5 linked regions of the Danio rerio genome follow. The protein of the gene in region 1 binds, or shares a complex with, the protein of each later gene. Links are inferred from orthologs where the notes say so. Each region holds a gene or a part of one and is shown in the gene's direction. Other genes may lie near its edges.

Evidence for each region.
Region 2: taf1c (region 1) and taf1b share a complex: the UniProt entries of both Homo sapiens proteins name them as parts of the transcription factor SL1/TIF-IB complex. The link is inferred for Danio rerio from reciprocal best matches to the Homo sapiens genes TAF1C and TAF1B.
Region 3: taf1c (region 1) and tbp share a complex: the UniProt entries of both Homo sapiens proteins name them as parts of the transcription factor SL1/TIF-IB complex. The link is inferred for Danio rerio from reciprocal best matches to the Homo sapiens genes TAF1C and TBP.
Region 4: taf1c (region 1) and polr2k share a complex: the UniProt entries of both Homo sapiens proteins name them as parts of the pol I pre-initiation complex. The link is inferred for Danio rerio from reciprocal best matches to the Homo sapiens genes TAF1C and POLR2K.
Region 5: taf1c (region 1) and polr1h share a complex: the UniProt entries of both Homo sapiens proteins name them as parts of the pol I pre-initiation complex. The link is inferred for Danio rerio from reciprocal best matches to the Homo sapiens genes TAF1C and POLR1H.

The regions. Positions count from the first base shown.
Region 1 is NC_133196.1:7,091,279-7,097,743, reverse strand, and holds the start of taf1c (TATA box-binding protein-associated factor RNA polymerase I subunit C), read left to right. Parts: upstream 1-2,579; 5' UTR 2,580-2,832; coding exon 2,833-2,961; intron 2,962-6,465. UniProt on the Homo sapiens protein: Component of the transcription factor SL1/TIF-IB complex, which is involved in the assembly of the PIC (pre-initiation complex) during RNA polymerase I-dependent transcription.
Region 2 is NC_133195.1:32,285,356-32,291,905, reverse strand, and holds the start of taf1b (TATA box-binding protein-associated factor RNA polymerase I subunit B), read left to right. Parts: upstream 1-2,838; 5' UTR 2,839-2,931; coding exon of another isoform or gene 2,932-2,949; intron 2,950-3,036; coding exon of another isoform or gene 3,037-3,135; intron 3,136-5,233; coding exon of another isoform or gene 5,234-5,321; intron 5,322-5,426; coding exon of another isoform or gene 5,427-5,524; 5' UTR 5,525-5,759; coding exon 5,760-5,792; intron 5,793-6,342; coding exon 6,343-6,435; intron 6,436-6,550. UniProt on the Homo sapiens protein: Component of RNA polymerase I core factor complex that acts as a GTF2B/TFIIB-like factor and plays a key role in multiple steps during transcription initiation such as pre-initiation complex (PIC) assembly and postpolymerase recruitment events in polymerase I (Pol I) transcription.
Region 3 is NC_133188.1:27,610,667-27,614,827, reverse strand, and holds the start of tbp (TATA-box-binding protein), read left to right. Parts: upstream 1-1,361; 5' UTR 1,362-1,433; intron 1,434-1,874; 5' UTR 1,875-1,955; coding exon 1,956-2,009; intron 2,010-2,858; exon of another isoform or gene 2,859-2,943; intron 2,944-4,161. Other genes in the region: zgc:153169 (uncharacterized protein), read right to left, coding at 7-148, 453-513. UniProt on the Homo sapiens protein: The TFIID basal transcription factor complex plays a major role in the initiation of RNA polymerase II (Pol II)-dependent transcription.
Region 4 is NC_133194.1:13,080,174-13,086,632, forward strand, and holds polr2k (DNA-directed RNA polymerases I, II, and III subunit RPABC4), read left to right. Parts: upstream 1-2,195; 5' UTR 2,196-2,275; intron 2,276-2,539; 5' UTR 2,540-2,541; coding exon 2,542-2,602; intron 2,603-2,799; coding exon 2,800-2,892; intron 2,893-5,495; coding exon 5,496-5,518; 3' UTR 5,519-5,643; downstream 5,644-6,459. UniProt on the Homo sapiens protein: DNA-dependent RNA polymerase catalyzes the transcription of DNA into RNA using the four ribonucleoside triphosphates as substrates.
Region 5 is NC_133194.1:29,749,379-29,754,569, reverse strand, and holds the end of polr1h (DNA-directed RNA polymerase I subunit RPA12), read left to right. Parts: intron 1-1,720; coding exon 1,721-1,824; intron 1,825-1,921; coding exon 1,922-2,031; intron 2,032-3,156; coding exon 3,157-3,181; 3' UTR 3,182-3,296; downstream 3,297-5,191. UniProt on the Homo sapiens protein: Core component of RNA polymerase I (Pol I), a DNA-dependent RNA polymerase which synthesizes ribosomal RNA precursors using the four ribonucleoside triphosphates as substrates. Can mediate Pol I proofreading of the nascent RNA transcript.

The DNA.
Region 1 (6,465 bases):
ATATGAGGGGAGAAAACAGGTGAAGTGGCTGTGTTTGTGTTATTGTCATGTAAATGCACAGGAATCAACTTTATTAAATATCAAGCCGAAATCTATTTAAACCTGTAGAAAATTTTCACCTAAGCATATTTGTGTTGTAAAGTCTGTTAGGTTTTCTAGAGAGCTGACAAAAAACGCAGTTCAAAAGTGTGATCAATTTACATTTTGGTTAATTGGTTACCTTTAAAATCACTAAAACGGATTACAGTGGGTCATTGGGTGTCCAGGTGTTTGATCAGAGCAAGTACACTACCTGAGAAAAGTCAGGTATCAAATATCCTGAGGTATTAAGACATTTGTGCTGCCCATTACATTACAAACCACACGAGAGGGCAAATTCTTCAGCAGGATAGCGCTCCTTCTCATACTTCAGCCTCCACATCAAAGCTCCTGAAAGCATAGAAGGTCAAGGTCCTTCAGGATTGGCCAGCCCAGTCACCATATATGAACATTATTGAGCATGTCTGGCATAAGATCTTGATGAACTCTGGGAGTCCTGCAGGAACGCTTTCTTTGCCATTCCGGATGACTTTATTAATCAGTGATTTGAGTCAATGCAGAGATGTATGGATGCAGTCCTCCAAGCTCATGATGGAGTCAGAAACAATATTCATTCTTTCTCCACTGCAGCATGACTTTAAATTCTATACTGGACATTATTTCTGTTCAGTGAAAAGACTTTTGTCTAAGCAAAGTCAGACCTTACTGTCCTTATTAAATAATTAAAAATCAAGGCATGATCATATTTTATTTTGGTTAAATAAGCGTAGAGGCCTTTGCCTTTCATATAAGCCACTTCTGATACCAAATGATCTACTAGAAGTCAAGTTATTATTAGTTGTTCCTAAAACTTTGATAGGTGACAAGACTTTTGTCAGGTATTGTATTTTACCCATTATTTGGGATTTTGGGGTTTTATAAAAGAATGTCACAGAAGTTTCTAGCAATATATACACTTTCTGTATTTTGAAAGCACATGCAGATTAATACAAAAATTAATAATAATGTATAAATCTGGTGGTTCATTCCACTGTGGCGATCCCTGATTAATAAAGGAACTAAGCCGAAAAGCAAATGAATGAATGACTGAATGAATAAATCAAATCCTACAGGGGGCGCTGTTTACATAACTTTTTATTAGTTCTTGAACATTAGTTTTTAGAACATTCTAAAAAAAAGGAAACGTAATAAATAACAATCTCAAGATTAGGGTCAAGCAATAAATAATTAATAAACCATCTTGATATTAAAAGTCATTATAATGCGAAATTTAATTAGGTAATTTTTAAGAAAATAAGTTGTTATAAAATGTTGAGAAAAAATAAACACTTTACCAAAGAGTTTCAAGATAAGTCTCACCTTTCGAGAGCTGTCTTTTATAGTTACATTAAATCCAAACGTTAACCGTTTGAGAAAAAAATACACATAAAATGTTGAGAACTCATTAAAAAGTTTATTCTTCAAGAAAAAGTTACATTTCAGGAAAAGGTAAATACACACAATGTTTATAGTAAAGTTATTAATTTTTGAGAATAAAGTTGTTATGATTTGAAAAAAACAACCCGTTAAATTTAGTGAAAAAGTTTTTTCGAAACAACAACTTTATTCCAGTAATTTAATGAATTTATTATTTATTGTTATTTAAATGATATTATTTTTTCAATAAAATGACTTTAACACTGAGGTGGTTTTCTTTTTAATTTGTATTTTTATTATATACAGTATATATTTATTATTAACGATTTGCTCTGATCCTCTTCTGTAGTTTATTTACTTAAGCATTGGTCCTAATTAATAATTTACATTTTACGTTTTTCAATTTTCATATGCACTACTTGTCTATTCTTCTATTTGTTTAGTTTAATGTTATGTTTTGCAATTAAATTTTAATTTAGCTTGTTAATATGTTATTTTTGCTAATTAATATATTTCAATATTGACAATATTGAAGCTGTTATCACATGCAATAATTCACTTTGATGAGTACATCAAGTTAAACAAAAAAAAATCCAATTGAATTGCAAAACAAAACATTAATGATCTACTAACTAATGTACAACACAACGGGCTCTTATTTTGAATTATTTAGAAAAGCTTTTGTTTTGAAAGCTCGCCCTATGGCGGGTGTTTTGAACGTTCTCCTGTAGTTTCTAGCTTCCCTCGACATGTGATCGGTAAAGTCCAGAAGGGATACAGCTGTGGACACTAGCGTCAAAATAGCATCAACTTAATAACAATGTTCACGAATAATTAATATTTTTACATTATTGTGACGGTTTTGTTTAGGGTTGGGGTGTGGATAGCCAGTCATAAAATACAATTTAACGGGTAATTTAATAAATAATATGAATAATATTCGAGATAATTACTCTTTTAACATTACTGTAATGGTTGGTTTTAAGGTTGGGGTAGAAGTAGACGTTAATAAAATACAATTAATGTATAATTTAATAAATATTATATACAACTCTCGTTAACTTCAGTCTGCAGCTGTATCTCTTCTAGCAACAGCTGAGGCGCGTGTATGACGTTAGCAGCTCATTCGCGGTTTGTTTGGCGTTCGTGCTTACGGTCAACCGTCAGCCACGTTTTTCACAAACACGTGCGTTATCGACTATTATTTCCAAAATTTATTTATATTAGAGACTTATATTCAACATATTACTATCTTAAAGTGACAATGTGGTATTAAATGGATTCCGTCGGACTGCGTGTGCTCGCCGGTTTTCGCGTGAACATGCCCGGGCTTGTCTAGTCTTCTGGGCCGGTGGATTGAACCAGCGCTCGGACATCATGGACGGCACTTTTCCACATCAGCTTTTTCCACATTTTTATCTGGACGGACCGCCTGATGTAAAGCCGAAACACTGCTATAGTGGCTGGGGAACATATGAGCGAGTGTTTCCTGTCAATGCTGAGCAGGTAAGACAGAGCTGATACGTCATCATCATAATAATAATCATAACAATGACATGACAGAGCCGTACATACACGAATAGACTTTTAATGTGAAGCAGAACATTTAATCAGTTCATTATATTGTTTAAACTTAACATTTACTGGAAAACCAGCAACAATCAAGAATGGATAATTATGGTGTCGTGGCTTTGGAATAAAAATTAATTAAAATGGAAGTCAATGGAGCAAAAACAGCCACGAACATAATGAAAGGGTAGTCAGTTTGCCTATAGTGTATTACATTTTTTTTGTAAAACTCTCAAACCATTAATATATGAATACACTATTTAAAATATATGTGTCAAAGTATGGTCTGTCACCAAACATCATTCCATTTGCTGAAAAGAGAGCGAGTTGTGGCCAAATTAATACTCAAAATCACCCCAGGATGAAAAGATCCCCAACAGCACACAAGGCTAAATTGATTATAAGATTTGTTATTTTATTAAGAAATATAATTTTTTTTATGAGTTTATGCAACTTGATTTATTTTAATTTATTCATTCATTCTTTTTAATCCTGTTTGAAATTATTGTAATCGTTTTTATTTTAGATTAAGTAAGTACACTAAATAAATACTAAAGATATGACAGCCATCTTTATGGTTTATGCACATATTACAATGCAAATATAATTTGAGCACACATTTTAAACGTCGCTGCATGTCTAGAAAAAAAAAAATCAGGGATTTGTAGATCTACAAACAAATCTACAAATCAGGGATTATAACCACAAACTACTTGTGGTTATAATTCCTGATTTGTAGATTTTTTTTGGTCATAATTTTCTATGATAAAGTTATGAGGCATGTACAAGTAAATTGAGATTTGAAAAAATAAAGAAATATAAAATTAATATAAAAAATGCTAGAATATTCATAAATTTTCCTTTTTTATATTTTATTTATTTTTAATATTATGTGTGTTTATTAGTAATTACAAAGAATCTATACATAAGTAATGCATGCATTAATTGCATGTGTGATAACACTTGTAATAGTGTTAATATTGTAATATATTCATTATTAAAAAATGCATTAACAAACTTAAAATTTACTGGAAAGCCAGCAACAATCAAGAATGGATAATTATGGTGTCGTGGCTTTGGAATAACAATTTATTAAAATGGAAGTCAATGGAGATAAAACAGCCACGAACATAAAGAAAGGGTAGTCAGTTTGCCTATAGTGTATTACATTTTTTGTAAATCTCTCAAACCATTAATATATTAAACTATTCAAAATATGTGTCAAAATATGGTCTGTCAACAAACATCATTCCATTTGCTGAAAGAGAGCGAGTTGTGGCCAAATTAATACTCAAAATTACCCCAGTATGAAAAGATCCCCAACAGCACACAAGGTTAAATTGATTATAAGAAGTGTTTATTTTATTAAAAAATATGTTTTTTTTTTAAATGAATTTATGCAACATGATTTATTTTTTTGCTATTCTTTCTTTCTTGTTTGTCCTGTCTAAATATTGTGTGAAATTATTTTAATCGTTTTTATTTAGGATTAAATAAGTACAGTAAATAAATACTAAAGATATGACAGCCATCTCTATGGTTTATGCACATATTACAATGCAAATATAATTTGAGCACACATTTTAAACGTCTCAGCATTTCTAGAAAAAATCTACAAATCAAGTACTTGTAGATCTCCTAAACAAATCTACAAATCAGAGATTATTACCACAAACTACTTGGGTTTATAATCCCTGATTTGTAGATGTTTTTTGTCATGCATTACGATAAGGTTGTTATGCATGTACAAATTAATTGAGATTTTTAAAAATTGCGTATTCATCTTTTAAGGAAGAATATTAAAAAATACTAGAATATTCATTCATTAATTTAAGCATTTTTCCATTTTTATATTTTATTTAATATTATTTATGTTTATGTTTATTAGTAATTACAAAGGATCTATACATAAATTATGCATGTATAATTGCATGTGTGATAACACTTTATAATAGTGTTAATATTGTAATATATAAATATAAAAATAACGTATTAACAAAATTATAAACTTTATTAGAGAAATTGAAAATAAATTATTTTCATTTATTTATTGTTGTATTGTTCTTGTTTAATTTGACATATTAAAGTTATTTGCATGTTATAACATCTGTAATAGTGTGTTAATATTGTAATGTGTTACATGGCAAAAATAATATATTAACAGCTAAATTAAGAATTAGGCTTAGGACGATAACCATTTTCAATGTATACCGGGGTTTGGCAAAGTCAAAGATTTTATTATTTGCTTTTTTGTTGTTGTTTTTTTGGACAACAATATCTCCTGCAGAAAAGATCTCCAAAGATGCCTTTTTAAATATAAATAAATCAGTGTTTTTGAAGCTAAGGTCAATTATTAATTTGAATTATTTGGTCTGACATTTTTTTTTAACAAAGACATAAAAATGATATATTTTAGAGCAGTAATCACAATACTGTGAAATTGTAATATTTTTTTTATCCAAGGTTATCATACCGTCAGAATCTTATACTGGCCCATGCCTAATTGTGTGTGTTTATTTATTAGTAATTCCAAATGATCTATACATTATTAATGCAAGCATTAACTTATTGTTTTTTATTTCTTTTTAAAGTGTAAGCAAGAACAAAACTTAGTTGGAGAAAATAAATGGTTCTCATTTATTTTTTACTTTATTATTCTTGTGTGATGTGATGACACCTGTAATAGTGTTAATATTGTAAAATGTTTATTAGCAAAAATAATGTGTTAACAAGCTAAATTAAGATTTAATTGGAAAGCATAACATTAAGCTCGTAGACTAGACAAACAATACATATAAAAATGCAAAAACGTAAAGTAATAAATAAAACTAATAGCATAAGTAAATAAACTATGGAAGAAGCTCAGGGCCGATCATTGATAAAAAAAAACTAATTAATTGAAGAAAAAAAAAATTAATTAAAGTTATTCATGTATTATTTTCCTTTATTTACTTTCTTACTGCAATTTTTTTTGTTTTTAACTACTTTTAATCTAGCTCTAGAACCCGTATGGCATAGAAGAAATTCAATAACAATGTGTGTGTGCGTGTATAAATATATATATATAAATCTATTTATAAATCAAACTGATTAGAACTCACGAAATTGTTCAGTCGTTAAAAAAATGTAAAAAAAATATCATTATTGTTTCCACCTACTGATGTCTCACATCAGGGCTTGAAATTGCAACCATTTTGGTCGTATATGCGCCCGAAATTTTATCTATGCGACCTCATAATATATTTGGGAGCATTTGTGCGAGTGCATGAAATTGTTGTGTGCGACCAGTTTTTACTGCAAAATGTTCACCACATGCGCAGATTTGGGAGGCATTCATGCAGAATGCATCTCTGCATGTTAAACGCAGTGCTCAGGAATGGTTTAAAACAGTTGTCATGTCAATTAGCTGCAGTAAACAAAGCCAACTCGTAATGCGTGCCC
Region 2 (6,550 bases), on another chromosome or scaffold:
AACTGTACGGCTTGGGTAATTAATCATTAACAAGCAAAAAGACTGCATTCTGAAAGTAGACGGCACCTGTATGGCAGGGTATGTGAACTTACACTTTCACGTTTCATTCTCAGCATTCAGAGTCTGCAATTTAATTAACCATATTTAACTGTTTTTGCTGAAATCATTGCTGCTATCAGAAATGAGTAATATGTATAATTCAGCATGAACTTACCTGATATAAAATGAGAACTGCAGAGTCAAGCATTTCTAATTGCATTGTCACTTCATTCAGCTTCCTTTTAGCCAAAGATCTCTGCGGTTGGCATTAAAAGCAGTGTGGTGTACGGTAAAAGTTAAGTTTTCTATATTTGGACTCGAATTTGGCATCCTACCCCACAACAGTACATGTTTGCTATTGTCTCTTTTTGCAACCGGGAAACTGTGTGACGTCATGTGTGACGTAGTTTGGTAATTCGTCTATACTATGGGGGCTATTAAATGATGGATTTTGATTGGCTGAAGAACATTCTAAAGCATGGATTTCGAACACCTCGATTATTTGAATCAGCTGTGTTTGATTAGGGTTGGAGCGAAGCTGCGGTCACACTGCACTTTTCTCCCCTTAGACTTCCATTCATACGCACGCAAATGCATCAGACCAGAAACACAAGCTTGTGCGACAAGTTTTGCAGTTCGCTGCGTTAGAAAGTTCAAGCTTGGTGCCAATATGGACCAATGACTCACTTTTTTAAATGTCTAGTAATCTTGTTTAATCCCGCCACTTTTCGCAGCATCATACTACAGAATTTCGCATGCTTGAACTCTAGTGTGACCGCAGCTTAAAACTGTGCGGCCCTCCAAGAATTGAGTTTGAGACCCATGTTCTAAGGTGTGGAGTTATTTTAAGGCAAACTCTGTCCTGGAGGGCCGATGTCCTGGAGATTTTAGCTTCAACTTACCTCAACACACCTGCAAGGATGTTTCTAGAAAGCCTAGTAAGAGCTTGGTTAGCCAGCCCAGATGTGTCTAAACTTTGCAGGACACTGGCCGTCCAGGACTGAATTTGGGCACCCCTGTAATAAGGGAATTGCATGGATAAATTAGATCCAGGCAGGATTTGACCACATTACAGTTCAGTTCAGTTACTTCAACGATACAACAGTCAAAAACAAAAAATCAAAAGGCTTTTAAAGAGATGTCAAAGAAGCTAGTCCTAAACTAATCCACAGGATGATTCCCCATTTTATTATCATCAATGATTCCTTAAGTAAAGCCTAATTAGGTTTAAATAACAAAGAAATGTCTGAGAATTTATCAAACTTTTCTAAACTTGTTCACTTCTCTCAATCGATTGATTGACTCCACGGTCATCAACATGTCTTGAGCGTTTTTATATATTATTTAATTTTATGGTTTAATCACAGATAAGGTCTCTCTTCTCAGTCTTGAGCAGCTCAAGGAAAGTGCCTGTTTCCTTTTAGCCAACTTCAGGTGCCGTGAACAGCAGGAAGCAGCAGAGTCGTGATGGGAAAGGCAGAGAGTGCATGTAATATTTATATACCAGATAAGCAAGTGAGCTAGACTCTGTATAATTTTCCCTTTTCGCCCACAGCCTCCCACAATCTCTATCCACGCTATGCGGCGTCTGTGGAGGACAAGTGGGGATGTAAAACGTGCCACACTGTAGGGAGAGCAATCCGCTGTTTCAGTGTGAAGAACAAAACCCACACCTGCAGTTACTGACTGTTCCTGATTTCCATTGCCAACAATGCTGTGTTTTGCATAGAGAACACGAGGAAACGCATGGGAGGCAGTAAACCATGAAATTGGCCCAGTGGTGAAAGAAGCAGCTTTTCTTCAAAGAGGTGGGGAGGAGGAAAGGAAGCATTGTTGATGGGCACAATTTATTTTATTTTTGTTACATTGCACATTTAAGCCACAATTGCATTAACTGGAACTTTATATATTTATAGTTTAAATGTTAAATATGAGGCATCTTAAATTTGCTAGGGTTTTTAACAACAAACAATAGAAAGGTCATGATGAGCAAACGAGAATATGAACACTATTTTGTATTTGCCTACTATTTGTTATAATTTATTAAAGAATAACAATAGAAATTCTGACTCAAGCAGGCTGATTGTAATCCAGGTAATGAGTAGCCTACCACCATTTACTGTCAGTTTTATCTAGCTATGGATTTTTGCGCCATCTACTGTCCATTGACTGTGACACATCTTTGTTTTGCAGGAGAGACATGCATTTACAATAAAACAAGTAAAATAAATGTATAATTTCTATATAAAAATAATTATGAATCGCAATTTATGTATCCAAGATAAGTTAATAGAGAATTCATGATAGAGTCAATACTTTATTATTATTATTATTATTATTATTATTACTTATCTGTCAAGCCTAAAAATAATTTAGTTACATTCCAGACAATATAAATGTTTAACAACATAATATAGAGCAAATACATAAAATAATTATATGGGATAATATAATTCCTACAATGTGGCAATGTGCAAATTGGGGGCTATGCCTTGTTATCTAAACTTGAAGTATGAATTATTATTATTATTATTATTATTATTTTGATTCACATATATTTATACAATATAATTACATTTCATTAATAAAATAGATGTTTAAAATTATACGTGTAAATGAGTTGAGTTATACTGTAAACGAAGAAAAAAATAAACATCAAAATTGTAATTAACATGCACATATACATATTACACAATATAGTAAAATGAAATAGCCCTACCAAAGGGTTCTAGATCAGTGGGCCAGGGCCTACTGTAAAATATTACGCTGAACAAACGAGTGACTTTTATTATGAAAAACGTATAGTCGGCCATGTTGAAAGCGAGTATGCTCACGCTGAAAACAGAAAACAAAAATTGTCTCATGTTTTGAAGTTCAGCTTACGTTTACACCATGGACGAACAAATTACTGTAAGTATCTCTAGTGTGTATTTTGTCAGTCTGCAGTGTTATGTGGAAATTCGTTATACTCTGTGAGCTGCGGTGCTGTTTCTCCAGGGTGGATATAGTGAGCCATGCGGACAGTGCGCTGCTGTGGACTGGGGAGTGTCAGACGAGGGTCAGTTCTTCTGTAAGAGCTGCCACAATGTCATCGAGGTGGGTTAATAGATATTTTAATATATAGTACATTAATACATAGACAGAAATCACTTTTTTTTTACATATGTATAGTTCTTCCAATTCCTATGAGCTTGTTTAAATGCATGGACAGGTATGAAGTTGTCGTATGTATTATAATTTACTCACTTTTCTGCTGATTTTCATTATGCTGCTGACTTTAATAGTTATATTAACATTTAATTTAATGATTGGTTAATTAATTTAAAAAAAATCATTAAACAAAAAGCTAATTAAAGCAGGAGTTGGGTAAATAAATATTACTAATTATTATCATACTCCCCCGGTTGATTGATTTATTTTTATTGAAAGCAGACATAAATGAAAACTTTTCATTTTATGAAAACTAAAATAGTATTTTAGTCACGTAAAGCTTATGCAGGTTTTATGAATGGGTTACATGCACAGAAGTGTTGTTCAGCCGAATCTTCAGGCAAACGATTGATGTGACTAATTTCAATTGCATAAGGGACCTTTTACAGCATCGATAATGTAGATTTTTATTTAGTTTAACAAAAAAAAAAAAACATCAGTAAATAGCGCTTTTCTGCCCAGCCTGCTCTACTGAGCTGAAGTTAGTTTTATAATCACATTGGTTCATTGTTTAACACTAGCCCCTTTCACACATACAGACCTTTCCGGAAAATTGGCGGCAATTTTCCGGCAGGTCCTTTTTGAAAATACCGGTAAATTCGTTCTGGCTATTTTCCGGAAAGAGAAGTTGTAACATTACCGGCAATTTGCCGGAATGCTGCGCTGTGTGAATGCAGAAGGAAGATTCCCGTAATAAGCGCGTGCACGTCTAGAACGTGCTGACGTGAGACGTCTGCTTTAGCCAATCACAACAGTCAGACGCATTTACGTCCGCGGGGTTTGTGAGAATAAAAGCCTTTGAATATTTTTCCAGACACATTTAGCTGCTAGAAGTTAGTCAGATCACGTTTATATGTTCTTCTTAATGCCAACTGTGTAAATAATCATCGATGAGATGCTTATGATAAGCCGTTGTTTGTTTACCTTCAAGCTTTGCGTGTGCCTGTGAAACAGCCTGTGAGCGCCTGCACACGCAGATATTATGAACATCTCGACATGCGAAAGTGATCCTGCGAAAGTTGTTCACAATATTGATCATCCACAGAGTTTGTAATTTAGTCAAATGTTTACAAACACAAGCGCAGCCGTTTAAAGCTCATTTGTGGTGAATGATGTCAGAATTTACCGGTATTTTGGAATGGATGTGTGAATGCTCTTTTCCGGAAAATTTCCGTAACGTCCTTACCTGTGTGAACAGGGCTTTTTTGAATATACCGGTAAAGTCGTTCCGGAAATTTTCCGGATATTTACCGGTATCACTGTGTGAAAGGGGCTACTCACAATCTGTGAAGTGCTCCTATATTGTTTACCATGCTACGCTGAATATTCAGCCTGAAATAGCATGTAAATATGGCTTAGTAATAAGTGTAATTCCTGCATGCCACCGGCCAACCACTAAGCATACAGTAGTCGCTGTAGGACAAATCGTGTGAAAGAGTGAGACCAGCGATCCTTGCATGCATTAAATATTGTACATCATGACAAGTTTTGCTTGCGACAGAACTGAAAATGTGCTAGATATATAATACAGTATGTCGTTCGGAATTGTAGTTTTATAAGTACTATAAAGTTTTCTAACTGGCAAATGACACAATCTAGTGATTGTCTGCTGTCAACTTTAAGCTGCGCGTTCATGATTTCAGGAGTCCTGGCTTGGGATGGCTGGGGTTTTCTAAGATATGCTAACGGATAGCATTTTGGCAGATTACCTCCTGCACCTTTAAACTGACAAACAAAACAAAAACGTTTGGTGTAAGACTTGCTGAAGAAGCTTTATGGCTCATTTCAGGAGAACAAAACCAATTTTTAAAAAAAAACAGCATCTGAAAACGTGTAATATAATAGAAATCTGCAGGCACAAATTTATAGTGCTATAAAAGAAACACTTTATGATGACTGTTTTGTCTACAGTGTCTCATCTTAATGGCATGATGTTATAAGCTTTACACACCTAAAGCATGTTGCTTGTTTTAACATCTTCTAGAAAATAAGGGAGGTAGAGGATGTTACCAGCCTTCATCATAAGCATGGCAGGATCTCAATAGTCAGGAAACCCAAGAAGAAAAAACATGGTCAGTCCAGCTTTACTTACTGTTTTTATTCTTGTTGATCATTTCTAACAGGATATTGTGCTAAAATGAAAAATTGAACCTGACGCCTCTTATGTCTGTTTTCAGATTCTGAAAGGGAGTGGTTGGTCTGTGAGGGATTTCAGTTCATCCTCAAACACCAGGCCAAGGCTTTGGTCAGTCTAGGTGTTTGTATGAAGTTTGAGGTTAGTGCTCTTCGTTTACTGAATCAAATTAAGTAGTTTGCACAGTATTCTTATGTTGTTAGATTTTATATTTGGTACATTGATCTCTTATGTAATTATGTAATTTTCTGTATAATTTGTTTTACTTTATTGTAGAGGTTTTTTTTTTTGTGGGTGCAAGTGTAAAATATAATGTATAAACAGTGCGACTTGTAGGATCATTTTACAGGTTAAACCCAAAAAGGACTCTCCTGTCATGTCACTTGCAATCGACACTAATAAACAGGAAGTAAGCCTCTTACAGACTATGTTTTTAATGAATGATATAGCTGAATAATTAATGATAAAAATGTGATTTGAAGATTTAAAAAGAGGGTGGAGGGATTAATTTGATTACACACATCACTGAGCTGAAATGTTTGTGACTTTGTTTTCCAATAGAATGTAAAATAAAGAACGTCAAAACACATAATTTAATGAGTGCGGATCACTGGCTACTTCTTAGTTTACTGAATCACTTTATGGATGACAAAAAAAAAGAATCTCCAAATTAAGGTTGGGAATTGGAGATTTATTTAGATTCTAGTATTGGATACTTGGATTAGAAATCGGATACTTGTTATAAAGTCAAACATTTAATTTAATGAGTGCGGGTCACTGGCTACTTCTTAGATAACTGAATCAAAAGAGTAGCTACATTTGGTAAAGAATGTCGGCAAAGTTAAATGTCATTATTATTGTAAAATCAAAGTCGATATGCATAATTGGAATAGGAATTGATCAAGTTCAAATGTTAGCCAACCCTACTCCTAATGCAATGTCATGTTTTGTTTTGACAGACAGAAGTTCTGTGGAATTTCTGGAAGAGGTACCTGCAGAACACAAGGCAAGCTTTTACTGAAAATCCAGTGTCCACTGCGAGGTTTGAAGTGGTACGTTTTGTGTTGAATTTTAAAATTGAAATTGTTTTGAAGACCTGTGAAGAAGATGTTGACAAATTTTTATTAAAAAAAGCAAATAATAATCAAAAGCCATTGTTTAGTCATT
Region 3 (4,161 bases), on another chromosome or scaffold:
ATCTACCCTCGAAGTGCTGCCACTGCCCCAAATCTCCCTGGCAAACCTTCCATAATAGCAGCATCACATTCAACTACTCCTGTGGCATTTGGAAATCCTCCTCTGCCACCAACAATATGTCGTCCAGTGTCTAAGTCATCTTCAACTTCTAAAAGCAAACAAGCAAACAAAACACTTATGCGTTTATACCACTAATACTCGTTGTTGTTGTTAAAAACTAAGTTGCCTATTACTTATACATGGCATCATTAAAATACATATTATATAAAGTCTGCTAAATTTTTTAATAACGTTATGCAAATAAGATAGATAAGGAGAAAGATTTATCTAACAACTGAATCAGTAATAAGAATAGTATTTTAATCCATCGTTCACAAGAGGTTCCAGCCGACTTTAAATAATAAAAGTCCATGCAGTTGGCTGATGATAGCGCAAACAGGTGTCAGATTTACCTGCCATTGCAGTTTCTACAACATCTGTAGCGTTTTGTCCAGCTAGCAGCAAACTTCTCATTCTGTCCACTGCAGGGCGAGAGAAAGACCATGTTCCCACAGCTGCCATTTGACACAAATGTATTGAAATACATCTATTTATGTACAGGAAAAGTTCGTTTCCATCGTTTGTAAGACTTTAAAACACAGTTTTACGTCCGGGGGTTATTAAAGCACAATTTCAAAATAAAAGTCTATGCGTTACAAAGACAGTTTAAAGGGCCATACTATGCATAATGTACACAATGTGTCATTTTTAAAGTGACATAAACTGACTTTTTGACATGGCCTGACTTTCAATAAAATTTGTATTTTGATTCAATTTCATACATAATTAAGCAATAATGCAGTGATTTGAATTAATGCACAATAATGTATATTGCAATAATACGTTAAAGATTTTAGATTTATTTATTGTAAAAAAAATATAAAGAAAACAATAGGTACATTTTTAACGTTTACCCTTTTTGCACAATAAAACGACTATTTCAATGTGGTCATGTCATTGGCCCAAGTATGAACATTTTCCTGCTTGTTATCATACTATTTCATAACTGTAATGTTAGGCAATTCAATCATAAATTAACATTAAAACAGCTGTCATAACCTTATTTAGCAATATGTATTCACCAGTTTTGCATTCTCTGAAACTATAGAAATTAAAAATGTAAAACAGGAAATACATCGGGATCATTGTTCTTGTTTACATCCATCAAAATGGTATATAAAATATATATTTTTTGTATTGAAGCATATAACTGACAAGCATACAGGATTATATGTAAAATATCACAAATTTGATTTGAACATGCGAGCTAATAGTGCACCGGAAGCGCATATTAAAGACGGCGGAAGTTGTTGTGAAGTCTCATGTTTTGCGCGCTCCCTGCGCTTCTGGAACTATTCAGCTCGTAGCCAACCGGTGGATCCTGCGAATTATCGGTTTGTTTGGCTGTCCTTTGATCTAACACTGTTTCTAGACGGAGAACTGTATTACAAGTGTTAACTGCTTGGGTTTTTAACGAACATATTAAAGTTAGCTCCAAAATTAGCCTCGCTAAACACGCTGTGCTGCATTCCTGTTCTGCTCACTATCACCTCTTTAACATTGTCAACTCTGTTCTCTTGAATGGGAATTCTATTATTTAGTGTTTCTGTAGGTCCTCGTACTGTTGGTCAATTTACGTATTATACTTTCTTTATAAATCCAGAATAACGTTACTGTGTTCTTTTAATTTAACGTTCAGATATTGCATTAAATTTTCTCTTGTGCATGTCTGTTTATTTAGGTGCACTTGGGATTTTTATAATCGTGTCTGCACTGTTGTGTGTAATCGGATTTTTAATATTTGTTAATTTGTATCTTTTTTTCGTTCATTTTAGTTTACGTCTTTTGGAGCCACTGAAGTTTTATAGGGAAGCCCTGAACCACTGCTCTGTTGTTTTGCTTCATAACCCGTCAGCATGGAGCAGAACAACAGCCTACCTCCTTTCGCTCAAGGTCTGGCATCTCCACAGGTGAGGAATGGATTGTTTAGTTAACGGGATTTTCCCAAAAATGACATTTCTTCATTTACCTATACTCAAGTGCTTATAAACATTTATAAACGTCTTGCTGTGGGTGAACAGAAAACAAGATATTCTGAAGAATTCTGTGGAAACATAAAAAGATACAGGAACAAACTCCAGTAGCCATTTTTTTTACATTTCAGTAGAGATTTGTAAAAGTTGGTTGGGTTGCACTATAATGGAAAAGTCGGATATTGCGATACTTTGTTTTTCTATGCTAAATAAAGCAATACGAATACCATTTCACAAGATGAATGAGTCTATCAGTATTCAGGTGCAGAAACTGAATAACCACAGTAGAAAAAAATGCTTTTCTTACACTGTCTTGTTTCCAGTCCAAATATAAAAAAAAATTAGTAAAGTAAAAAAATTGTTTTGTTTTCACTGTTAGTAGAAATATTAAGTGATTTTCCCTAAAACAAGCTAAATAATCTGCCAGTGAGGTGTTTTTTTCCATAAATTATAAATTTCGTATAAAGACTCGGTCAGTGAGGCTAAATCTAAATATTTTTCAAATTTGATTACTAAAAGTGCAAGTAAGCCAAAAGTCCTTAAAACTATTAAAAAATAGTCCTTAAAACTATTAATTCAGTTCTTAATCCAACTATGTGCTCTGTTCCTGTTGTCAATCTGGAGACGTGCATAAAGTTCTCTGACTTTTTTACAAGATATTAAATCACACCTCTTTCCCACCGACATAGATCATTCTGATTCGGTCCCTCCATCCAACAGTTTCACAAATTTTCAGCCTGTATCTTCTTCTCAGCTACTTAATAAAATTTTTCAGATGAAACTCACCTTTTGTCCTTCAGATGTACTGCCTTGCCGTCTTTTTCAAGAGGTTTTAGATACAATCTGCCCCTCACTCTTAGCTTTAATAAACAGCTCCTTAATAAACAGGGTTTTTCCAGATGTCTTTAAACATGCTGTTGTAAAGCCTCTATTAAAGAGGCCTAATCTTGATCCCGCTGTGCCTGCCCACTACAGGCCCATATCTAAGCTCTCATTTTTCTCAAAGGTTTTAGAGAAAATTGTAGTTTCACAATTAACCTGGACATTTTTAATATTCTAGACCCTTTACAATCTGGTTTTAGAGCAAAACACAGCACTGAGTCTGCACTACTAAAAGTCACAAATGACATTTTACTCTTCATGGATTCTGGATCATCTGCGATTTTAATACTTTTAGACCTAAGCGCTGCTTTTTATACCGTAGATCACAACATATTATTGAAACGACTTGAGTGTGTTGTTGGGGTTCAGGGCCTTGCCTTGCAGTGGTTCTCCTCATATCTAAAGGGGAGATCTTTTTCTGTAAATATTGGATCCTTTACTTCACCACCTAAACCTATTCATTGTGGTGTTCCACAAGGATCTATTCTTGGCCCTCTTTTATTTTCTCTTTATATGCTTCCTTTAAGCTCAATACTCCTCAAACATAACATAAGCTATCACTGCTATGCTGATGATCTCCAACTATACTTTCCAATCAAACTAGGAAAAGATTTATCATTAGAAAATATTTTCCTATGCCTTACCGACATTAAGACCTGGATGACAAATAACTCTCTGCAACTAAACAAGAATAAAACAGAAGTGTTAATTTTAGGTCCTGCTGCTACCAACAATTCAATTAAAACTTAGCTAGGAGCCCTAAACGACAATCTGCACAATCACGTCAAGAATCTCAGAGTTATCTTTGATCCACTCTTGCAGTTTGACAAACATGTAAATGCGGTTGTGAAGAGCAGTTTGTTCCAGCTTAGATTGGTGGCAAAAGTTAAACCCTTTCTTTCTAAAAAAGATTTAGAAATCGTAACCCATGCTTTAATCTCCTCTCGGTTAGACTACTTCAACTCTTTGTACATTGGCCTACCTCAGTCAACACTCTTTCGGCTACAGTTGGTCCAAAATGCAGCCGCCAGATTAATAACAGGAACTAAGAAAAGAGATCATATCTCCCCTGTCCTCGCCTCATTGCACTGGCTACCTATAAAATACAGGGTTGCTTTTAAAATTCTTCTTTTCACTTATAAAGCTTTGCACAATTCTGCCCCCGCCTATGTCAGCGAGCTTATTAGGCCATATACAGCTTGTAGAC
Region 4 (6,459 bases), on another chromosome or scaffold:
TGCAAACGGATGAGCAGCGGAGTGACATGTGCTCGTTTAGGTTCATTGAAGACCACTCGTGCTGCTGCGTTCTGGAGCAGTTGAAGAGGCTTGATAGAGTTAACTGGAAGCCCAGCTAGTAGAGAGTTGCAGTAATCCAGTTTGGAGAGAACAAGAGCTTGAACAAGGAGTTGAGCTGCATGTTCAGATAAGAAGGGTCGGATCTTTCTGATGTTATAGAGTGCGAATCTGCATGATTGGGCAGTTCTAGAAATGTGGTCAGAGAAGTTTAGTTGGTCATCAATCGTTACTCCAAGGCTTTTCACCATTTTTGATGCAGTAATGGTTGCCCCATCCATCTGGATTGAAAAGTTACGGTGTAGAGTCGAGTTAGCAGAAACTACAAGCATTTCCGTTTCACGATGGCGCAGTGGGTAGCACTGTCGCCTAACAGCAAAAAGGTCGCTGGTTTGAGTCCTGGCTGGGCCAGTTGTCATTTCTGACATGGAGCTGGCATGTTCTCCCCGTGTTCCTGTGGGTTTCCTCAGGGTCCACCTGTTTCCCTCACAATCCAAAGGCATACGCTATAGGTGTCTTGAATAAACTAAATTGGTCGTAGTGTATGAGTGTGTGAGAATGCAAAAGTGCATGGGTGTTTCCCTGTACTGGGTTGCGGCTAGATAAGCATCTGCTGTGTAAAACACATGGTGGAATAGTTGATGATTCATTCCGCTGTGGTGATCCCTAATTAATAAAGGGAATGAACACTTTCATAACAAATCTCTCTTGACATTAGCTGCCTTTGAAAAGTGTGTGCTTGCAGCCATGCAGATGCATAAAGACTCTGTGTTTTTGTAATAAAAGCGAGTCAATTAGCAAAGGGGAACTCAACTTAGTTTAATTTTATTTTGAACAACAATATAAAACGTCCAAATTTATAAGTTGGGAGACCTAAAAATGTGAGAATGTACAAAAGCGCTGCTAATAGGAAGTCTTATTTGTTGTTTATTATCTATTGTATAACTGTAATGTTACTGACGGAACCATTTTGATTACAATACAATCATTCTAGACATTCAACATAAAAACAAAACATGAATATCTTTCTGAGATGTCTTTTGGGGATAGTTTCTGAATATTGCTGCCCTCAATAGTTACAATGCATACACCTGTTGATAACTATGGAATATTAAATAATTTAAATATGTTATTACATTTCATAAACCGTTTTAATTACTTGTGCTTACACTTGATTTAGTTATTAATGGCCAACATGTGTCCTGTGGATTTGAATTACCTTCAAATGCAAAGTATATCTATCTTTTGCTCTAAAAATGAACATTAGTTTTAAAAAATCATAATAATATTTAAGGAATTAGCAGTATTTCAGTATTATTGAAACAGTAACAAAACATTTCAGTATATCAAAAAGATAAACAGCTATCAATAATTAGTAACTCTATTAATATGAATAAATGACAATTGGCTGGATCAGCTTGTTCTGACATATACCTTCGTTATAAACACATTATAAATGGGAATGTTGATATGTATTAAACACATTGCCGAGAAACAGAAACTGAAAGGGTGAGGCGGGATTACGACTGCCAGTAAAAAAAAAACACATTACAAACATAAATACTAACAGTGTACAGACTATCTGGTTATACCTATAAAACATATAATAGTATATAATACTGACAGTAAAGTTTTGCAAACTTACCCGAGAGCTGAACGTTTAACGTTACTGGCAGTTTTTGCAGCTGCGACTCACTAACGTTACTTCCTGCTCTGAGACCGTCAACAACACCGACAAATCAAGTGACAATGTACGAAACACATTTCACTCATACAAAAAATCAAATAATAATTATTCATTAATAATAACACATTTCTGTTAGTAAATAAATGTGTTTAGACTGTTTCACAATTTCAGGACAGGTTTAATAACAGCGTTACACATGAATTAATATAAACCATTAGCGTTAAACAAAAAAGTACACAAATAATACGTCTTCATGGTTACGTACGTCTGTCACTAAATGAATGTTTAAAAACGTCGCCGCGAAGTTTTTCTCCGCCATCTGAAATTGCTGGCAGTAATAAAATAAAAGTCCCAGATGAACCTGTAAGTCTCTGCGTAAAATGGTAATGTCCTCCCTCCTGGCGGCGTATGACGAGATTGGTTCAATTCTTGCCAACCAATAGCATTGTTCGTTACTGTGATGTGATGTCGCTTGTGCGCATGCGTGAACGAAAAACGTTTCGAAGCAAACAGAGAGCTCACGCGTGAAAGGTAGCTAATGCTTTGAATGTTTACATTTCGTACTCGTTTGTACACTGATAAATGACAGGATGAATGATATGTGCGGGGTTTTATTGCAATTTTAATATGATGAATTACGTGTCTTGTTGGGTTTATAATGGAAGAACGTGTTTGTGCATAGTGCAGCATCTCTTAAATGTGCTCTTACGATAGGTTTAGGTCAAATAATGTGTAATATTCTAATGAATTTATTCAATTTAGACTATATAATCATGTTTGTGTGTTTGCTTTAAGCCATGGATTCTCAGAAAGACATTCAGCCCCCCAAACAACAGCCAATGATCTACATTTGTGGAGGTGATTGCTCTTTTGATTGTATTTATGTTTATAATCTATATGTATATTGATCTATTAGAAGGTTTATGTATTGATTATATTTTTGTAATCAGTCATTTCTTTCTTAATGCTAAACAATCAAGATGTTCACAATCTAGTCTGTTTTTGAGCTTGAAATTTTGTGTGTGTGTGTGTGTGTGTGTGTGTGTTTGTTTCAGAGTGTCACACAGAAAACGAGATCAAGGCCAGAGACCCCATCAGATGCAGAGAGTGTGGTTACAGGATCATGTACAAAAAGAGGACCAAAAGATGTATCCTTTATCAACTAAACCAATGCTTTGTGGTAGGCCTGGTTGATACGACAAAAAAAGTTGATTAAATTAATTTCACGCTATAATCCTCTCATTTGCTAATAATGAGATATGTCATGATATAGTAACTAGGGATACAACAATACAGTTAGCCTTAGTAAGAGGTTAAGGAGAAAAAACTTATTGCAATACTTCTTTATTTTACTTGATAGCCAAGAAAAGTACACTAGTTTGTAGTTTAATGTATAATAAAAGTAAATTAACTGAAATCTCACAGCTGCTGGTAGCTTATGTACAAACTGGGGAACACGTATATTCCTACATTTTGAAAATACACATACATGTGAAAAATAATTTCAAATAAACATATTTGATGTAATTTTAAGCTCTGGATGTTTATTAGTTTTACATTTTCTAAATGCATATTGTGTCACTGTTTTGGAGCACACTAGCTAATAGGATTGGGCGATGTTGACCAATTTGCCATCATATGATGTATAATGTGAAACAAAGTAATGGACGATAACATCGTTATTGTAGGCGTCAGTGAATTAATTATTAATTCATAACGGATTAATTATTTGTAGCCCATGTTTCAACTACCTGACCCACAAGGTCTTTGTTTTACCCATAACCAAATCAAAAATAAATAAAGTTGCACACAAATTACCACCTTTCAATCACTTTTTCCATTGGACTCTGGCATGAATAGGCCAATAGAGTGATCTGTGTCTTTACAATGACATTGACAAACTTGGTTGGGAAAAAAAGGTGCACAACCAACCAACTGTATCTGAGGTTTTCACTAAAATTACTAAGTATAAGCATGAAAGCGAAACACCGAAGCAGTGTACTGATGCTGTGACACATTACCTGATAGATTCAAAAGACCAAAATGTCTGAAGCTCTGATACGAATGTATACTGCAGGCATAACAGTGTGCATTTTCATCGATATCGAGTGGAAGGAAGGCTTTTCAGAAATGCTAGATGAAACGCCTGTGTGGACGTAGGTCGCTTTTGTTCTAAAATGCCATTTTAAAACTAAGATGTATTAAGGCTGATTTATACTTCTGGGTCAAACACCGGCGTATGCTACGGCGCTGACGCATAGCCCTTCGCCGTGGCCATCGCCGTCACTGACGTGCACCTCTCAAAAAATGTAACTACACATCGCAACAACGCGTAGCGCAAGCTCTGTGATTGGTCGGCTTGGTAGCGCTGACGAGTCTGGGCGGGACCGAGAGCTGCGCGAATGGCGCGACGCCGCGCGAGCGATTGTTTACAAGTGTGGAGTCCCGTGATGGAGCTCCGGATGGAAAGTTTTGTTTTGTGTTTACCTTATAGTTAAAGTTGTTGCACGTCCGCCGGTTCCTGCCTTAAAATGAGCGAGTTTGAGCCACTTGTACATCCCAGAAGTGTTCAGGAAATGCAAAAAAGTAGCGAAGAAACTCAACACAGAGGAACATTTACACCTCACTGCCAACTAGCGTTTCGGAAGTGTTAATGCAAACCGACAGAGACAGCGCGCAGAAGTATAAATGCACAGCCACGCGCGTTGCCTGCGCCGTGGGTTACGCCGGTCACCTGACGCAGAAGTATGAATCAGGCTTTAGTGTAAACGGGGCCTAAGTGTGTATTTTTCACAAACGGATTGCTGCTACGGTGGGGTGGAGGTTAGCGATGCCAGCTCAGCATCGATATGTCTATCGACGATGGCTTCGTCCATCGACCCAACCCTACTAGCTAATAGATATCCTTAAAACTAACATCTAAAAAAAAGTTTAGTTTGAGTTTCACAGGACCTTTAAAAAAAGGCAAACTAATGAAACTGGCCTAGAGAAAATTAAAGGGCGCCAACCTCAGTATATTGACCACATCTCAAGCACTATTTGTTTTTGTTCTTTACATTTTAAAGTATATACTCAGAAATGCGCTCATTCATGTGTGAACATATTTCTTACTTCATTTAGAACTTCAAAGCAAATGTTTTTAGTAAAGATGTAGAAATATGAATAAATTCTTAATAAAATAAAAACACACTTTAAATACCAAATGATTACAACGATTAATCCAACATAATGTAAAAAATATTGCTAAATAAAATGCCAAATGTAAACATTGTTCTTTCTAGATTGCAAATTTCCCATATGATGCCGTTGTTCATGTTTCTGTCTGCATCCGTAAACAAAGTAAATGATAGAGTATAATATAAAACAACAGACTTTGTTTATTGCACAGCCCTACTTGGTGGTTGAAATAAGTTTATTCAAACAAAAGTAACTTTATTCTATTATTTACTTAATTTCATTGGGCTATTCCAAACATTAACCATTAAAAATATAAAAGATGTTAAATGTTGTAGTTATGAGCTGTTCAATAGGCCATTAACGTTATTAATGCAATTTCATTTTCCTAGTTTTTTTCTGTTTAAATGATTTAAAACGTATCAGGAAATGATTATTTTGGGGGGATGAGCTGTTACTTTAATTTTTTTTTAATAATGTTAAGTTAAACTTGGTTCCACGCTATTAGGTTAGTATCTCAATTTTTGTGATCTTTGTCTTGTGTTTTTTAAGTTTTTCCCTTAACTTCTGTTTCCAGTGGTCGTGTTTGATGCCAGATGAGATCCTGCTGTTTTTTCTGTTATAGTTATCTTTTTTATGTCTTTGAATATGTAAATACATGTGTACAATTTGATTAGGCAGTAAAGGGTCAAAACTGAGTAAAATGCAGTTTTCAAAGTTTGTGAGTGAATGTGCTTTATTTCCTTTTTTTTCCAGTGTTTGTACAAATTTAAGTCAAAAGGTTTAAGGTTTTGGGTTGAATCGTGTTCAGTTTGTGTTTGTGTCTGTGTTTTGTATTGTATCAAGACACAAATTATACTACACGAATATGGTGAATTATGAGCGGAGTGAATTATGAGGACTGATGTCCCCATTTTTCCAAAAACTTATAATATAGAATGTAATATATGAATACATAAAAAATGCATATGAATAAAATCTTGTAAGTTTAACTAGTTTCCTGTAAGGGTTGGTTTTAGGGATAGGGTGGGGAAAATACAGATTGTACAGTATAAAAACAATAGAAACCTATGGAATGTCAAAGGTTCATAAAAAACGTGTGTATGTTTTTCGATCTATATTATTATTTGTATTGCCCTTATTAATCATATTACCAAAACCCTCCTTTTTCAATTACAACTAATTCAAACTATTAATTACACTACAAGAACTACAAGACAAAAATATTCTGTACAAATTAAATTGGATTTTCATGATCACAAATTTGCCAACATTTGAGAACATTTAAAAAAAAAAAGTCCTCTTTCCAAACTTGACTTTTTTTTAATTCTGTATGTTGGCTAATATATTTAGGGATTTCTGAGTGAAAACTCACTACAGTGTATAGTCAAAATCAATATTTTATTGTTTTACTTAACACAAATCTTATTTTTGCTTTGGATATTGACCTTATTCTAAAATGCGGAAGTGCACCTGTTTTTGCGATTGTCTTAGAACCTCCGATTCAGTCTCCTATGGAAGAAATGACTAGGAATAATAAA
Region 5 (5,191 bases), on another chromosome or scaffold:
TAGGTGAATTGCGTATGCTAAATTGTCTGTAGTGTATGTGTGTGAACGAGTGTGTGTGGATGTTTTCCAGTGATGGTTCAGGCTGGAAGGGCATCTGCTGCGTAAAAAACTGCTGGATAAGTTGGTGGTTCATTCATCTGTGGTGACCGCAGTTTAAAAAAAACCAAGCTGAATAGAAATTGGGCGAGGCAGTGCTGTCGCCTCACAGCAAGAAGGTCGCTGGTTCGAACCTCGGCTCAGTTGGTGTTTCTGTGTGGAGTTTGCATGTTCTCCCTGCCTTCGCGTGGGTTTCCTCCGGGTGCTCCGGTTTCCCCCACAGTCCAAAGACATGTTGTACAGGTGAATTGGGTAGGCTAAATTGTCTGTAGTTTATGAGTGTGTGTGTGAATGTGTGTGTGGATGTTTCCCAGAGATCGGTTGTGGCTGGAAGGGCATCCGCTGCGTAAAAACTTGCTGGATAAGTTGATGGTTCATTCCGCTGTGGCGACCCCGGATTAATAAAGGGACTAAGCTGACAAGAAAATAAATTAATGAATGAAAAGAAATTGAACGACTTCAATGACTTCAAAATTATGGCCAATTCCCCACTTTTTCAAGGTAAAAGTGTATAAACATCACGCATTACTTGTTCTTTTATTACACTTAAATATTTAAATACTTTAAATGTTTTAGATTTAAGCATACACATTAACTTGTGCAGCTATCTTTTTTTCACGCTAACTGTCTCTGTTTCACTAATGCAGTTGTGTTGCTTTTTTTTAATATAAGATCGTATTTGCTATAACTGCATAAGCATCAAGTTCAGCTGGAGAAAAAAAATGCTCTCTTTTTTTCAGATGTTGCTAAGGGGACTTGTAATATCTGCGCTCCATTAATAATACCTTTTTATAGTTGTGTGGTGTGCACGCATAAAGCTGCAGTCACGCTGGACTTCTCTCCCCATAGACTTTTTTCGGAAACGTAAGGTCGTGTGTCACTGCGTTGGAAAGTTCAAGCTTGGTGAACTCTGTCCTGCTAAATCGCATCACATGATTGTGAGAGACCAATCGAAGAGCAAAACGTGAACTCTGTACAGGAATTTAAAACATGGAGCAGTCACTCGCTTTTTTAATATCCAATCATCTTGTTTAATTTCGGCCTTTTGTGCAGCCCTGTACAACAGAATTTCGCAAGCTCAAACTCTAGTGTGACTACAGCATTAACTCTGAATCAGTCCACTCAAGACTTGGTTGACCTAACTCAGATCAGCTGTTCTGAAACTAAAAACTCTTGAGTTTTTAATCTCTTGGTAAGTCAACTCAGAGTTCAAGTTTAAAGTTCGAGTTGGTTGAACCTCCTTACTGAAACGGGTCCATTATGTCAATGATGAAGGTGCTTTTTCTTTGCAGGTTTATGTTATGCCCACACGGAATCTGCTTGCGCAGAATTCCGCAGATTTTCCACAGAATTCCGCAGATTTCTGCAGATTATTAGCCCATCATAATTCTGTTTATTTACTTGAGTAAATGTGTAAATCTAAATTTATTCAGTTTTTATTGAGTAATTACTTACTTTTTATTTAATATATTAAGGTTTTAGCTATGATACTCTGCTGGATACTCCCAAAATAATTCCGCAGAAATCCGCAGATTTTTACCAAAATTCTCAGCAGAAATAGCAAAAAACGTCCGCAGATTCCGTCTGGCCCTGGTTATAACCCAGTAGTATGATTCTCTTTCAGACTTCACAAGTCAAGTGATCAAGTCATCGGTGATGTTTAATCCTTTGGATCAGAGCAATGTCGCTGTTGAAAGTGCAGAGGATGCTGAATTGAAGGGGCCAGTGGTATGTTACAAAAAAAGAGTAATTGAGTCTGAAATATCATTAATTCTCTTTGTAAACTTTTTCACTTTTTTCTCACCTTCTGAAAACTTTTCCTTAGATTGACAGGAAATGTTCTCGCTGTAATAAAGAGGGAATGGTTTATCATACAAGACAGATGAGATCTGCAGATGAAGGGCAAACTGTTTTCTTCACATGTATTCACTGCAGGTAATTAACACAGCATGCTCATAAACCCTTGGTGCTCCTTTGAAATTTTAGAGAGTGACAAATTATATATATATATATATATATATATATATATATATATATATATATATATATATATATATATATATATATATATATATAATTTTTATTGTACTTTAAACTTTATTGGTATAAATAAAAACTTACATTAAGCCTCTTTTTGCACTTGCTATGTAAACAAAGACTTTAAAATCTTGGATATGGTTTGTAAAATTTAACCTTTCTGGAGAACTACAGACACACTTGTGTTGTTCACGATCAAAAATAAATGCATTGCAAACTAAATTCATCAAGCGGAAACGTTTGGTACAGCACCCAAACTAAACGTTATTTGTTAAAGCTAGTTTTTGAGATGTCAGTGTCATTTGAAAGTCAACCAGTTTATATAGTTGGTCTTGATTTTTCTCACAATTTTAGAGTAAGTACATTTACATTTAAAAACAATACGTTTTCTACATATACTATTATTTACTATCTATCTGTAATTCAACCAATTAGCACTAATACAAGTACAATTTATTTATATAGCATATTTCGCACACAATGGTAATTCAAAGTGCTTTACATAAGCAAGAATAAAAGACATAAAATAAAATCTTTAAAAGATTTAAAAATGATTAAAAGCTGATTCAAATGTGTTTAAAACAGGTTATTAAAGAATGAAAATGAAAACGAAAGCCGTAATGGTTTGATCTGTCGGACATAGCACAGTGCTCATTCAGTAAAGGCACAGCTAAACTGTTTTCAGTCTTGATTTGAATGTGCCTAATGTTGGAGCACATCTGACCGTTTCTGGAAGCGGATTTCAGCTGTGGAGGGTTAATAGCCGAAGGCCGATTCACCCCGCTTTGACTGAACACTTGGGATTTCTTATTTACTTGGTTCTAATGATCTGAATGATCTGTTAGGTTTGTATTCAGTTAGGTCTTAGGCTACTTTTAAATCGATTATGAATGTAACTGGGAGCTAGTGCAAAGACCTGAGGACAGATGTGCTCTGATTTTCTGGTTTTGAATAAGCTGCAACTGTCTGACTGTCTTTTTTGGGTATTATATAGTATTAATATTTTACTTTTTTTTGTTATAGGTTCCAAGAAAAGGAAGACTCATGAGAAATGTGTTGCTGCTGCTGTCTTATATTGATTGCTAGAATTTAATTGTATAAAATAATGTAAAGGTTTTGTTTGTATTCATACTATTCAGTGTTAATAAAAATTATCAAAAGAATGTTTGTCTTTTATATCTAATATGTAATTTTCTTTATATATAGTATAAGGAATGCATAATAAACACTATTTATAATTTTAAAAATAAAAGTTTGTAAAAGAAATACGGTTTTCCGAAAAGTCCCTTCCCACACGCGTGAGCCAATCAGCCTTTATGTTTCAGCGATCACGTGATCGTACAACATGGCTTCACACTGTCCGAGCTGAATGGCTAGATGACTGTTCATGAAGAAGTACAATGATGTGTATCACTTTATGCACTATTTAGTGCTTCCTAGCGCCTGTGAAACAAGGTAAGCAAATTGACTGTATAATAAATCTAAGTTTAAAGCGAGAATGACTACGATATATGATACATACATTTTCTAGGCATGAACTCAAGGCAGCAAGAATTTAAAGCATCTATTGTTCCTTAAATGCTCATTTCAATATATTGTTGTTGTTACCTTTGATATCAGTGTGTTTACGTTAGTGTAACCAACAAAGTAGATGCACTATAACATCTCAGTCAAAGATAGTGAACAATATGACTCCGTTTGACAGATAATGTTTTCTGATAGAGCCTAATGCAGGTCATTTTGATTTTTGTCTTTACATTTGCCCGTTTTTACCGTTTACAGATGAAGCTTCGCGTTCAGCTTCAGTGTAAGAACTTGCACGAGTATCTGAAAGAACTGACCCCAGAAATCCTCGACAGGCTCTACAATCACCCAGCAACATGTCTAGCAGTATACAGGTCCTTCTGTTATACACGCATTCATATTTACGTGTACACTCATAATGTTTTGCCTCTTGTTTAAACTGCTTATTTAAAATAAGCTGAGACAACTCGTTTCTTTAGATTTCTTTGGGAGAACCTAATTATATTAAGTTAATGTATACTCAAATTTGTTAAGCCAACTTAATTGATGTACGTTGTGACAACACGAATGAATTGTGTGGAACTTTATTTTGATCTGATTAGATCACATACTGTTCAAGCAAGTGGAGTTTATTTGGAAATAAAAAGCACAAATATTTTAGTAAACAGCAGTTCTTGCTTTGCTGTAAAAAGGACTTTTAAAAATGATACTTTCAATGAAATTTTTGTTAGTTTTTTTTTTATTTTACATCACAATAGTTTATAAATTAATATTTTAAAATTATATTTTCTAGGGGATGTAATGGTGCAAAATTATATTTATGTAGTATTTATAATCCATTTGATGATGATCTATTAACCTCTTTCCAATTAAAATTGTCGTAAATCATAAGTTTAGTCTTTCTTAAACGGCATTTACTATATTATTACTAAATCAAAAAAAGTTGAAAGAAAAGAAAGGACTTATATTATTATATAATGGAAGTATAAAACAATTTTATGAGGAACGTGCTAAAAACTATTTTAAATTCTACTATATAAAATACGTATTTTTAAAACACGTTTTACTCTTAAAAAGCAAGAAACTCAAATTCATAAATCTGAAACTGTTATTTTGCAAATTGAAGTTTTAAATAGTTTTTATTTTATTATTATTATTATTTGTGTGTGTGTGTGTGTGTGTGTGTGTGTGTGTGTGTGAGATCTTTTTTGGGTGGCGTAATAAACATTTCTACTAGTTTCCATTATTTTAGTATTGTCGTTATTGACCAACAATAATTTATATGTTTTGCAGAACTTCTGTATCATTTTGATAAAAAAGTCAAACTACTCTAATATCAGGCCTGTAGCCAGCCTAGTGAAAGGGGTGGTTCTTTTGTTCTAAAAAAATAGACCTTTTAGCAGTTATTTGACTCGTTTTTTTTTCTTTAATTATGAAGTTTCAATACTGCATTTTAGTGAGATTTTAAGCAGATTTTACACACTTTTACACACTTTTTGATGTGCCAAAATCATTTACTAAAGATTTAGAATAA